Oreochromis niloticus: one gene and its partner. The protein of the gene in region 1 interacts with the protein of each later gene in a pairwise test. Links are inferred from orthologs where the notes say so. Each region holds a gene or a part of one and is shown on either strand. Other genes may lie near its edges.

Evidence for each region. The genes of interacting proteins can lie anywhere in the genome.
Region 2: the proteins of lemd3 (region 1) and smad1 interact in binary tests that used the Homo sapiens proteins (3 or more experiments, as listed by UniProt). The link is inferred for Oreochromis niloticus from reciprocal best matches to the Homo sapiens genes LEMD3 and SMAD1.

The regions. Positions count from the first base shown.
Region 1 is NC_031981.2:544,537-551,684, reverse strand, and holds the start of lemd3 (inner nuclear membrane protein Man1), read right to left. Parts: upstream 3,020-7,148; 5' UTR 2,946-3,019; coding exon 1,616-2,945; intron 1,090-1,615; coding exon 1,055-1,089; intron 1-1,054.
Region 2 is NC_031971.2:16,425,022-16,432,013, reverse strand, and holds the start of smad1 (mothers against decapentaplegic homolog 1), read left to right. Parts: upstream 1-3,988; 5' UTR 3,989-4,158; intron 4,159-6,992. UniProt on the Homo sapiens protein: Transcriptional modulator that plays a role in various cellular processes, including embryonic development, cell differentiation, and tissue homeostasis.

The DNA.
Region 1 (7,148 bases):
CAGCTCCCAGTTTGGACAGACGTCCTCGCTACCTTTAAGATTAGGCTTCAAACTTCAAACTTCCCCTTTTGGTAAAGCATCTGGTCAGGGATGGATCCGGTGACCCTGAACCCTCCCTTAGTTACTGTGCAATAGGCCTAGGTTACTGTGGGCTTCCCATGATGCACTGAGTGTTTCTTGGTGGCTCACTGTGCTTACACACCTCTCTGTATGTAATCATTTATCTATCATCGCTTGCTCTTTTCCACAGCCTGTCTTTCTCCCATCACCCTCACCTGGTCGTGGCAGGTGGCTGCCCCTCCCCAGGTTCTGCCAGAGGTTTCTTCCTGTTAAAAGGGTGTTTTTACTTTCCACTGTGTGCTTGGTCACAGGGTGTTGTTGGGGTTGTCTCTGTATACGGTAGAGTTTCTACCTTACAATACGGAGGACTGCTCTTGTGATTGGTGCGAGACGAATAAAACTGAATTATTGCTGAATCATAAACACTTTCCTGAACTGAGACAAGTGAGACCAGCAGTTCTTGAGAGCCTTTTTTGTGACCTTCTGGATGACTATCTGATAACTCTCGGTTTCTCTCGGTAGGCCGTCCACTCCTGGGAAGTTTCATCACTGGTTCAAGTTTTCTTCAGTTGTGGATAATGGCTTTCACCTCAGTTTGCTCCCAAAGCCTGGCTTTGTAACCCTTTTCAGACTGATGGATGTCAGAGACTTTGTTCTTATGTTTCTTTAAATTGTAGTTAATTAATGATTAAACAAGGAGGCAATTACTTTTCAACATACGGCCCATTAGACCTGTATACCCGTTTTCAGATCAAATCCTCATTTATCATATTGTATTTACTTGGATTATCTTATATCTAATGTCACAATTTAGTTGATGATCTGAAGCGTGTGACAAATATACCAAAAAAAATAAATAAATCAGCTTTAGAATGAAGCATTGTAAGTTACTGACATGGTACACACTGTTAATGTAATCACATTTTCTGTGCTGTACATTTGAAAACCTCTTAACTTAAAGAGTAGGGAGAACCTGAAGAAAGTATTTACTTACATTAGGCGTGTCAAACTCCGGGGGAGGGCTATTAACTGAAAATGAAGACGAGACAGACAGTCAGGACAATTCTCAAAGAAGTTTCCAAAGTACATGGATTGAGAAAAACATCGATAAATTACTTTTTCTGTTAAATATAAAACTGTTAGTGTGTGCATTCTTAGCTTTTGCACATTCTGCCTCATTTTAAGTGTAACATGATTCTTTTGATAGTCACATAATCCTTTTATCTGTAGGGGCACAAAAAAACAACTCCTCAGAAATAGGTGGAAGTGAATTTGGAGCACCGTCTCCTTCCGACTGCTGCTTGTTCTGTGCTTGGGCAGACTGACTGTACGGATTCCTTCCAGTCTAAAAATGCTCATCTTTGGATCTGTTTGTATTTGGGAATCTCTCCAACTTTGGTGTTTGTTCATCAGGAACATCCACTCAAAATACACAAAGAATAAACACTTCTATACATTACCAGGCAATAAAACAATTACATGCATTACAGTCCCTAAACTGCCACAACTTTAACACTCCACGGAAACCAAATAGGCAGTTCGCCCAGATACTTACTGACGTTATCCACCTCCAAGGCTCCTGAACCCCTCATCCTGAGGTACATGAGCCCCAGCAGCACAAAGAAGAGGCACGCCGCTGTGAGCAGGAACATGGACAGGTAGTGAGCGCTAAAACTACCTGAGGAAGCTAGCTCTTCCCTTTTGAACTGCTGGAGAAGCTCATCTTCGGGAGCAGACACGTTTCTCTTGAGCGCTGCGTGGCCGCAGGAATGGTTGGGAGCAGGGGTGTGATTAGAGTGGTTGCGCCTGTACGTCTGCGACAGACCGCTGTAGGTGGAGAAGCGCGGTCTCAGCTCGGTGCTGTTGCTTCTGGATGCTCCATCCTCCCCCGTGGCCGGACTGTTTTTACCGGTATATCCTTTGTGGTTTTCGGTAAGTGACCCGTAGATGGGTTTCCTTGGAAGTGTGTGACTCCGCGAGTCTCCCAAGCGGCTAAAGTCCCTTCTCTTTAAATCATCTTCCTCTTCATCCTCACCTTGACTCCCCCCCATGTTTAGAAAACGACGAGGCGTAGCTTCTGTGTTCTGCCCATCGGTCGCAGACCCTCGATCAGTAACGTCGGAAGATAACGCCACACTGGGGTGGTTTCGTCGAGGCTCCAATCTGTCGCATTCTGGGTCGCCGACGCCAAGCCCACTAACTTCCTCCTCGTCCGAGTCTGAGTAATCTCCAGCTAATTTGCTAGCATTCAGGCGAGACGCCCCGCGACCATTTAAAGAGCGGGACTTCTTTTCCATATCCTCCTCATAATTGTCCTCGTCCCCCGAGTCGTCGTAACGCCGTAGTCCCGCATCAGACCTGGATCTGTCACCGACTCCCCAGCCCAGTGAGACACGTCTCTCTCCGTTCTGACCCAGGGAAAAATTGCTGCTTGGTGTCGCACTGTGGTCGTACCGACTCTTGATAGCCACACTCGGCGTTGAGGCAGGCCTAATCTTAGGCTGCTGTTGAGAACTGGAGCTTCTGTTCGCTCTGCCACTGTGACCGAGGCCTTTCCTCTTTAGTGGGGTTTCAGCGTCAGACTCGTCGGAGCTGAAGCCGAGGAGGGAGGACTTCCGGCCCGGTCTCCTGCTTGTATTCAGGTGCGTGACGTCATGGCTGACTGGCCTAGATGCCACTGTGCTACCGCCGCCAGTGGTACTGTTAATGGCACCGATAGTACGGGTTTTACCAGGTCTTAGTCCTCGCTGCTGTTGCTCTTCGCGAAGCTTCTTGAGTTTCTTCAAGTACACCGGACGAGTGTTTTCAGTAACGGGCCCTGGAGTGAAACCAAAACGTTTTAATTCCAAAAAAAGCTCCTCATCCGTTAACTGCGTTGACGCCATCTTGAAAAGACCTCGAAGACGGTTCTGTGACGGAAATGACGTAGAGGTGAAGTGGCAACCAACTGGGTTGTGTTCAAAATCACCAACAAGCTGCGAAAATATGTCGCAGACACCCCCCTTTATTACGTCGCGTATGTTTTCAAATAATATTTTGTTTCACTTTTTCTGTGCGCATATTAAATATCTAATTACTTTTTTTTCAAACAAATAGCTTTATTGAACACGTATACAAACAAACAAAAGTAACCATCTAACAACTGAAGGCACGCACGGTAACAACGAAAAACATCCAAGTATGAAAAATATAAATAAATACAAATCACACAAAAAGGAAAAAGAGTCAGAGAAAACAATCACATTAAATCAAAATTGTTAAGTAATGAAAGTAATTTCACGTCACAGACTCACGTCATTCTTCCAGTAATTCAAGTCAGGCTTAGCTTTGAAAAATCTGCATCAGTGAATAAAATATTTTCCAATTAAATTTACTGTTTTTCTCGTTTGTTTGTTTTCTGTTTTTTTTTTTTTTAAACAATTGTTGTTGTTGTTGTCTTTTATCTAAAAATTCCACTTTACTACTCAGTGAATGGAGTAAATGGTCCAAAAAAGGACCAAGAACATCTTCAGAGACTGGATGAAGTCCTGCGGCAATTAGAGGAGGCGGCCCTGAGTTTAAATGTCAGTTCACAGAAAAGGAAGTGACATTTTTAGCACACCGGGTGGATAAGACAAGTTTACATCCAGTGCTGGAGGCGGTACCCCCAAAATCAGTGACAGAGCTCAAAGCTTATTTGGAGTTGTTGAACTTCTGTTCTTGCCAAACTTGTCCACGCTGGTGGGCCCACTGCACAAGCTTCTGAGAAAGGAGGAACAGTGGTGTTGGGCACCAAAGTTTTCTGCAAGTCAAAAACTGGAACTGGTGCAGTCAAGTAGTGTATTGGCACACTATGATGAGAAGAAAGATTTAATTCTATCTTGCGATGCGTCCACCTACAGAGTGTGAGCAGTGCTAGCTCACCGCATGCCAGATGGTCATGCGGGTGTGACTGATGTAGCTGTGCCCTGTTGGCACAGTCACACCCGGGAATGAGACGCATGAAGGGCCTGGCCAGAAGCTACATGTGGTGGCTGCATATGGAGACTGACATTGAAGACAAGGTGAAGTACTGCAGTACGTGTCAAGAACATAGACTCAGGCCTCAAGAGGAACCGCTACACCCCTGGGAGTGGCCGGAGAAGCCATTGAGAATACAGATAGATAGATAGATAGATAGATAGATAGATAGATAGATAGATAGATAGATAGATAGATATAATTTTATTTCGAACATGCAAATATAATTGAAATAACAACAGAAAAAAACAAAACTTAAAAATCATCAAGTTTTCATGTATATACCTATGTCTACAGAATGTGTGTGCTTGAAAAGGAGTAGGATGAAGTTTACACTTTTCTTGTTCCTACCCCCTTATTTCAAATTTCATTGCTTACAAATCCATATCCAGGACTCAACATTATTTGATCAGATATGTTTAACTATGTACAAATCTAACACATTGAACATACAGAAATAAAACCGTTTTCAGCATGTAAACCAGAACAACGACAAACTACATTTTTACATAAACTAATCTCCCTGTCTATAACACCCCTTAATCGCTGAGCTTATTTTATATCTATGTGACAAACACCTTAATGAACACTTAAGCTTGGGTTACTCAGGCCTTGATCTATAAAAAATGAGGACACAATGAGACGACTCAGTCACTGAGAGGAAGATTTCCTATATTCATGCAATTTATTATTTTTGAACAATCGTGTGAGTTTTTGTATTGATGTACTTGTCTTGATCTCACCTGTACAGGTGTTCCACACACTAACTCCTCTGACTGTAATGCTGTGATATTTTACATTTGTCCTTACTACTGGCTTGCTGAACATAAGGATTCCTCTCAGGTCAGGAGTATTTGGTCTTATTTGGAACAAGTTCTGAATGTTGTGGGGCAAAGATTTATTTGCTGCTTTGTAAATTGTTTACGCAGTTCTGAGGTCAACCAAATCTTTAAATTTGAGAATATTTAATTTGATAAAAAGTGGATTTGATGGTTCTCTTGAAGTAGTTTTATTTATTATCGATTATGCTGGCCCATTTTTGGGTAAAATGTTCCTAGTAATAGTGGACGCCCACTCCAAATGGTTATATGTGTGTCCAGTGGCATCAGCTGCCACTATAGACTGCTTGAGAAACCGTTTCAGCGCTCACGGTGGTCTCGGACAATGCCCAGTGTTTTGTAAGTGCACAAACTAAAGAGTTCATGGCAAAGAACAGCATCACACATGTCAGCTCTGCTCCATATCACCCAGCATCTAATGGGTTAGCAGAAAGAGCGGTGCAAACTTTCAAAGAACTCATGAAAAAGAGTACCGGAGACACACTGGCAACCAAGTTAAACAGGGCTTTGTTTAGTTACCGAATCACAACAGCGTCCCCCGCTGAGTTGATGATGGGCCGGAAGTTGAGTTGTACTCTTGATCTCATACACCCCGACTTGAAATAGAAAGTGACATCAAAACAAGATAGCCAAAGACTGCATCATGATAGACATGCCAAGGAGGGCACATTGGTTATTGGAGACACAGTGTATACCAGAAACTATGCCGCAGGACCCAAATGGATACCAGGACTTATACAGGAAATGAAGGGGCCTGTTTCCTGCACGGTGATGCCGGGCAATGGGAAGGTGGTGGCTGTTTGCCCGCCTGGAGCCTTACCTACCAGCAGGAATACCCGAGGGCCACCAGGGCGAGCCCCCAAAAGCTGCACCAATCATCCATGCTGAGACGATGGACACTGATGAAAGAAACATGGAGGTGCAAGTTACACCAGTGGTGACGCCGCATACAGAGAATAGTGGCTCACAGGAGTCGCCAGCCACAGGGTTGCGAGTTTTTTACATTTTAATTAAGGTTACGTTTTTTATGGGTATTTTATGTAGTACTTAAAACTACAGAGTAGTTTCAGTTTAACGGGGGAGGAATGTTATGATGTAACAGGGGGTGGGCGGGGTTTGGTCCACCAGGGGGCAACAGTCTGTGGAGAGCGGTGTCAGCGTTGGTTGGGTATGCTCCATTTCAGTAAAGACATGACTGTGAGGTCGACATAGTCTCTGTGGTTCCTTATTGCACGGCATATCACATTTAGTCTTCTAAGTAGTCTTGTGCAAAAGTCTTGAACCACCATTTCTCTGTTTTTGTTGGGGAAATGAGTGCAATGATTTATCTTCTTCTTTGGATATTTCTGCTTTTTTATTTTTGTCACGAAGATCTGCTGAGTCGCGCCCTCAGGGAGGCCAATCCATGATGGTGTTCCAGTGTGTGTTGTATACAGTGCTTTGATATAAGAATCAGTCCATGTACCATTTACCACTGCGTGTTTTTCTATCTAACTATGCTTTTACTGCATTGACAGTGTGTTTGGGATCATTGTCATGCTGAAAAATGAGGCTGTTGCCAATTAGATGATTTAAAGATCAAAATTTAATGGTACTGTTTAAATTGATCAGTCCATCAGACCTATTGCCACTGATTTTTGCAGTCTGGTTATTGTGTAATGTTGCATACCTTTAACAGCCACCCTTTAACCCAGACCATTTCTGATGAGGCTTCAGTGATGGATCAGCTGAAGGGTCATCGCTCAGGTCCTGTTTCAGGTCTTTGCAGGAGTCTATCCTATTTCTTAAGGACATGACTGTCAGATACTGTTCATCTGCTGTAGATAGTTTACAGCCCCAAATTTCTATTCCAGCCTTTGAAATGTTCTTGTTTATATGACCTCCATAAAACAAATGGATTTTGTAGTTCATGTTCTGCACATAAGAGTTTCAAAACAGTGAACATCTGGGTTTATGTTAAGGAGAGCAGTGTGACATTGTTCTGATTCTCAGTGCACGGCTGTTTTCCTTGACCTCAAATACGTTTGCATTTAGGTCAAGGAAAAGGTTAGGAATAAGAGATAGAACATACTTTTGGAACACGCTGGAAAAGTCATACCCCACGGCATTCCCATACCTTGTAACTCGGGAGTGGCACCAAAAAACACAAAACAGTAGCAGCACAGATGAGAAGTTTACAGTGTTAGTACTGTTTACATGCAGTGCTACCATCTTGGATTGCTAACTCAGGCTATGTTGGTCTGCTCAGGC
Region 2 (6,992 bases), on another chromosome or scaffold:
TATGCAAGGGAAACAAGAAGAAAAGGCTGAGGTATGCCAAGTTACACAAGAATATGACTGAAAATCAGTGGCAACAGGTCTCATGGAGTGAGGAATCCAAATGTGAAGTTTTGCATGCATGAACAGAGGAGGTCAGGAGCAAGTACAACCATGAGTTTCTAAAGGCATCTATAAACCACAATGGAGGCTATGTTGTGGTTTGGGTCTGCATGTCAGCCAGTGGTGTTGGGGATCTTATCAACATTATGCAAATATGAACATATAAAAGTACTGTTAGACATTCAGCGCCATCTTAAAACTAGCTGGCTGATAATAGTGTCACTTTTCAGCATGAAAGTGATTCCAACCCCACTGTCAGTTAAGCAAAAGCATATCTCGATAGAAAAACACATAATGTCACGCTCTCAATCATGGATTGGCCTCCCCGGAGCCTGGACCTGAACATTATTGAAGCATTGTGGGATCATCCTGACAGTGAACAGAACAACAGAACAGAGCTTGTCTAAAAGAGTTCCGGGTACATTTAAAAATAAAGCTGGCCAAACCAAACTTGACATTTTTAAGTCAAGTTAAAGGGTTTTTTTCCCCCTTATATACATTGTTATACTGTATTTTCATCTATGTTTTCCATTTTCACGGTAAAATATAAAGAAATAAGCGGTTGCTCGACATTTTTGTACAGTACTGTAGATTTTAACGAGCTAAATCTCCTTATCTAAACAATCACATGCAGCACAGTCATTTCACTAGGCGGCAGACCCTTTCTCATAATGCCAACAAGTTTATTTAGGTTAATAAGTAAACCATATGCTGTATATCAGCATAACAGACTTGGAGATAAATGACAAAGAAGTACTTCAATGAAAGTTGCTCTTTGCATTTATCTGCCAGCATCCTATTCTTATTCATCCATATTTATTTTCTCCATCTAAGGTGTCTGACCTCAAAAGAGCTCACAGTAGGTAAAATTCTCCTTCTCAGAGTCAGTTAGAACAAAAGACAACCTGATTTACAAACTCTTATCACCTTTGTGCCTCTTGAACACTACCAGTGGAGACTGGCAGGTCCATTATACCACAACAAAAGGTTGGTTTGTTATCCGTGAAGTGGCCACTTCATGTCTCCAAACTGCCGTGAACAGAGATCAAAGTCTGTTTGATGTTTTCAGATGCATTTTAAACACAGCTAAACTGAAGCAAGAGCATTCACGTGGTTTTCATGAACATATATATCTCCTCCATATCTGGTGGTGGATTTAGATTCATGGTGTGTTTATCCATGCAAATACAGCAGACCTAAGGCTGAATTCACATGCATGACAATCAAGAGAACTGGGAAAGAGCTGACCTCTCTGTCGCTCTTTCCTCGTCTCCATCCGCGGTTGGTGTCCTGCTGTGTGATGGCTCCACAATAGATATCGTCTAATTTAATCCACGCTGAGTCCTTGCCACTACAGAGCCAGTGTAAGGACAGGAAACCGCTCTGATCAGAATATGCATGAGCACTGTACGTCTCACATAAAAAGAAAAAGCAAAGTGAGTTGCAGCCATTACAGTATCTACTGTCATCATTACAATGATGAGGAACCCTCTGTATAAACATTTGGGTAGTTTCCTTGCCACTGATACAATAATAAGCACATAAGCAAGGTAAATAAGCAACGGTAATTGATTTTTATTTTTATTGCTCACATAATCTCATTTCCAGCGACTGCATGAGTGAATTTGTATGACCTGAAATGTAATTTGCTTCATGTTAGCCACTGCTCCAGAAATGCAAGTATTTGCATTTTGCTGTATAAAAAAGAAGATGGCCGATACTCGTCTGTCAAATAATCAAATTTGCCAGCAAATCTTTTGAGCATCTGTAACATCTTTTTTTTTCACCGTTGCATCCAGTGGTTCCCCAATATGATTCTGGGGCATGGGGGCTGGAAAGCATTGGGGGGGGGGGGGGGGGGGGGGCATGTGGGTGTTTTTAGATCACAGGCCAGTGACAAAGAAGATTATACTCCTATCAGTGTTGAAAAGGCTTTAAAATATTCTAACTTCTGCAATGGTAAAAAAATATAAAGCAAAATATAGGCAGATGTTGCTTAACCCTGTCCTAGCTGGCAGTTTTGTAGCTCTGGAGTACTGGAGTTGTCTATAATAGAGCATAAAACCCGTAAACTGCATTTAAAAAACAATATTCCAATGTGTTCTTTACATTGTTCATTTGTTTCTTTTTGTTAAGGTCACTTGTCGAGGTGGAGATCCATTTGACCACATTAAGCTGTCTGGGAAGCTTGCAACAATGACTAATATTTTATGAGCTGAGCTGTCATGTGTAACAAAGTGGAATTGTTTCCACTTTTTGTTTCCACTCTCAGAAATATTATGAAGCAAGGTACTTAGGTTCAGGGCCTGCTTTACACCAGAGAGCAGAGCACTAGGAAGCAGCAGTGTCAAAATCTGAAAGTGTGATGTGCGAATATAAAAGTTAAATTACCTTAATTGGAATATTAGAGGTTAAACTTTGCTGTTCTAATGAGATAAAACTCGATGAGTCTGTAAAAGCTCAGTAGGCTTTTCTCCCTAATAGGACTATAAATGTATGGGGTCTAATGAATGTGCTGCTGCCCTGTGTGTGCGTGTGTGTGAGGGGAATCCTCTAGCAAAAAAAAGTTTTGGGGACCCTTCCTCCTATCCCTTCTCATTATCATCATCATGATCATCATCGCCATCCCTTCCTCCCTCCCTTACACCCCCCACCTCCACCCACCCTCCCCGCTCGCACTGTTTTCCCAGATTTATTCACGTGCGGCTCGCTCCCGCCTCGCTCAGACATTCTGTCGCCAGCGCCGTGACGTCACCTGCGCCAGAAGCCTCCTCCGCTCTGAACGTTTCCCTCCGCCTGTCTTCAAGAGAATCTAGTCCCCCTCCCTCCTCACCGCAGCGACCCTGAACTTGATTAATGAACTGGCAAATACAGAAAGAGATGTTACTACACTTTTTTAAATATAATGAAAAAAACAACAAAAAACAATAACGATCGAAGCCCGTGTTTTTTTTGCCAGTGTTAAAGTATATTTAAGTCATCATTGTGTGTTTGAGCAAATTATTACACTGATAAGCCTGTGGTCACCCTTTGGACACTTTGTGGCGTTTTTGAACTTATATCTCATTTTTTCGAGGATCTCTAATAACATCTACAAGCTCTGACTGTTTAAAAAAGACTGTTTAAAGTTTACTTATCATTCAGATAAGTTATCGCGCTTTTGTCGCTTTTGTGACTTATTCACATCTGATCAGATAATGGGTTACTTCCCCTTGGGCCTCATGGTCAATTCAGAGTCTGCGGCACATGCACAAGTATGGACAGATTGGGCTCATTGGTGTGCAAGAAACTTTCATGTCCTCTGCAGCTGCTGTCCTGCAGGAAGGCTGTGTTTTCACGTGTCATCGTGCAGTACTCACTGGGACCCAAAAAAGCGTGCATCAGTGTCTGAGGAGGTGGGGATGGTGGCATGTATGAGCATGTTCCTGTGCTGACTGTGCTCGTGGGACACTTTTGTTCTTCTGGCTGAACTGTGCTTATCATGTCACAGTCAAAGCGAGACGGGAAACCGAGAGGTAGGCTTTAAGTTCAGGAGTTCACAGATAAACCACAGAGATGTGTCACTTAAAAACAGCCTCTCGGAAATATTACTGCTTTAGATAAAAGCGAGCTTTTTCAAAATATTTCCTCATTTACTCCCGATTGATGTCTGTTGTATTGGGGGAGACAACAGAGTGGTAAAGATTAAAGACTTATTACTTAGACTTATTATTTAGAGCCTCTTTTCCCCTGTCTCCCCAAAAACCCCGACATTTCACCTATCTTAACAGACACGTTTTGCACTAAAGAAACCCCACACCTTTGCACTAAAACCGTACCGTTTCGCTATTACATAATCCACTTCCACGCTCTCGATGAAGATGTTAGATGTGCAAAAAGTAGGTCTGCCTCTTGCCGGTGGGGCCGCATCTCGCGGCGGTGTGATACTGGCGCTCGGGAGAGTGTGAGACGGCTCCGCGACTCACTGACGCCAGGCCGAGCAGACCCACAGTCAGGCGGCGAGAGCACACAGGAGGAGCCAGCGACGCCGAGAAACAGAAAGCTACAGAGGAAGAAAAGGTGCGGTAAAGTTTTTCTTTTTTCACAGAATTATAAATGAAAACTGCCTTTAACTGTTTTTATTTCGGTAGCCACAGTGTGCTCGACTCTGTTTTTTTAAGGAAGTAGATCCCAGCAGTTATCCGCACATCACTGTCAGTTGGCAGCTTCAAACTTTTTTTCCTCTTTTTGCGCACAAGTTATCAGACAGCAGTGGAAATTTAGCCGCAAAGTTGTGTCTTGTACCAATTTTTTTTTACAAAAGCGGGAAAAAAGTGGGTAACTTAGGGAATTTAGCAGCAAAGGTTTCCCAAAAATGTTGTAGAAGCGAAGCTTTTCGTCTTAAAGCTAAACTCCCTTTAATTACCCTTAAATCACCGTAAAGGGTTCACCGGGACGAGCTTTTCCGTATTTAACCATGTAATCCATTTTCAGCTGGGAATGATGATTATTGTGCTATTTATAAACTACCGCTTTTCTTCTTTTTTTTTTTTGCTTTGCTTTTTTTGGGGGGGGGTGCATGCATTATGCGGATAAATGGGTGGTCTTTCTGTGTCATATGTTGTTATCTTGCTTCATCAACTAGCTGTTTAGTCTGTAACATTAAAAAAAGTGGAAGAAATGGCCACCAGTCGCCCGAGGGTTTCATCTTGTTCTGTGTAGAAATTAGTTTACGGTGACATTGAACAGAAAAACAGCCAAGCTTCTCCTTTTGAGAAACAAGAAATTGAGGATTTAGCAAGTTTTCTTTCCCCGTGATAAATGACTGAAAATGCTTGATAAACAATTATCAAGACTGCTCATTAAGTTTCTCATGATCACCTAATTAATTAGCTAAATCTCTTGATTTGAAGCGTTACACATTTCGAAATGTATCATATTTGGATGCCACTAAACCATATATCACTCTGTAATCAGTAAACACGTATTACACCTTGCCATTTTAAGCTTTAAGAAAGTATATTGTTGTAGTGTTTATTGATGTATAAAGACTTAACGTGGCTGTTCAGCTGATGCACTTCAGAGGACATGTGTCCCCATGTGTTTACGAATTTCTGCCTGTGTGAGAGTGCATGTGAGGGAAGATTGCAGAGGGAGGCAGAGACCTACAACAACTAGAGCTAGCTCTCTTGACATTATTGAAGATGACATATCAGATTACTCAAAGGACAGGAATTTGTCCTTGTCTGTGATTGCATTCTCAGTATGTTGTGCTTTAAGTTGTATTTACGACAGCTTTTTTTCCAGCTTAAAAATGAGCATGAAGCCTCTTGACTGTGACTGTCATTATCAGAGGCTTTTATGAGCTTGATATCTGCGTCGGTGAACACAAAGCATGATATTTTCCATCCACTGTAACAGCTGCTGATAACTAGTAAACTGCAAGGTCTCCATACGTTGCAGGTTTTCCTTTATGAGAGAGACTTAAACCAAAATAAACTCTTTAGTTGACAGTTTTAGACAAGCACTGTTGTTGTAGGATAAATAGAAGAAGAAACATGACAGATTTAAGTCTTGTGTCCCTGTGTCACTGTATGGTTGGATAACATGTCTGCTATGTGTTGGAGTGAAGTGTCCACCCTAACACAACACAAACCCAACGCTGAGTTACGAGCATGTTTGACATAGCACCATGAAAACCCATGTGTTTGATAGTTATGTCTGCTGTGGTAGATTGACATGTCTGGGACGCAAAGAATCTGATCCCAGTTCAACTTCATCAGAGTCTGAACCATCCTGACACTTCTTGTGCAGGTTTCTAGTGTTTTCCATATCAGCATTGGAAGGATGCTGAGCAGTGGATGTGACTTGTAGGAGCCCGTCAGGTCAATGCCATGACTGTGATTACTTCAGGTTTTGCTCTTAGACTGTAGTGTCTAGGTCTAGCTGTTCGGCGTTAATTCTAGGGCTGCTCATTTATGACAAAAGTCATTTCTCACGATTGCCATAGTGGCTTCATTGAACTTAAAATCATGCTATTTGAATGGTGAATATCCTTGACTCTTTGAATCAGTCTTTCAGGGAGAAAATCTGGAGTTTTATGGAATGACAAAAGTATTGTAGGTGGGGCTGAAAGCCAAATTGTGAGTGCAGCACAATAACTGTCTTGTTTTAAATATAGTTAGAAGCCAAAATTGTAATTAAAATTTGATTAATTGTGCATCACTAGCTAATGCTGTTTGCAACCAACTGAAGTAGTTATTAGGGAGCCTGGAAAAGTGAACTAATATTATATTACAGCAGATATGTTACTTTATGTTAGCCAGCAAATATCAAGAAGGTGCAGAATGCAATTATGCAAAGACATGCTGCTTTTGTAAGACTGTACAACAAGGAAAACTTGACAGGTTAATTATATATATATTTTTCATGTAAAATGTCCTTCTCTGTATTTATTTATTTATTTATTTTTTGCATAAAATGGCTAAAATTGGCAGCTTTTTTTGGTTGGCCCACAGTCCAAAGATATTTAGCTTGCAATAATATGAAACTGATAAATGTAGGACATCTGGCTAAGAAACTGGAACCAGAGATCTTTTGGCTTTTTCTTTTCTTTTCGTTTTTTTAAATGGCATGATTTAAATGACAAGTACTTCTAAGTACTAAGTACATTAGTACTAATTTTTCTTAGTACTAATGTTAATTTCTCAAAAGGATGTTAAAAATGACAGCTGGTCTCCTGTTTTAAAAGCAATTTGTTGACTCATTTAAAAAAAAAAAAAAAATTATATCCTAGCCTCGTTGTTAGAAATGGTATTCGTAAAGTAGCCTGTAGTGCATCCTTGTAGTGTCATGATTCACACAGTAATGCCCCTTGAAGGCTCTTGATGTTGAAGTACTAGCTGAAGAGACCA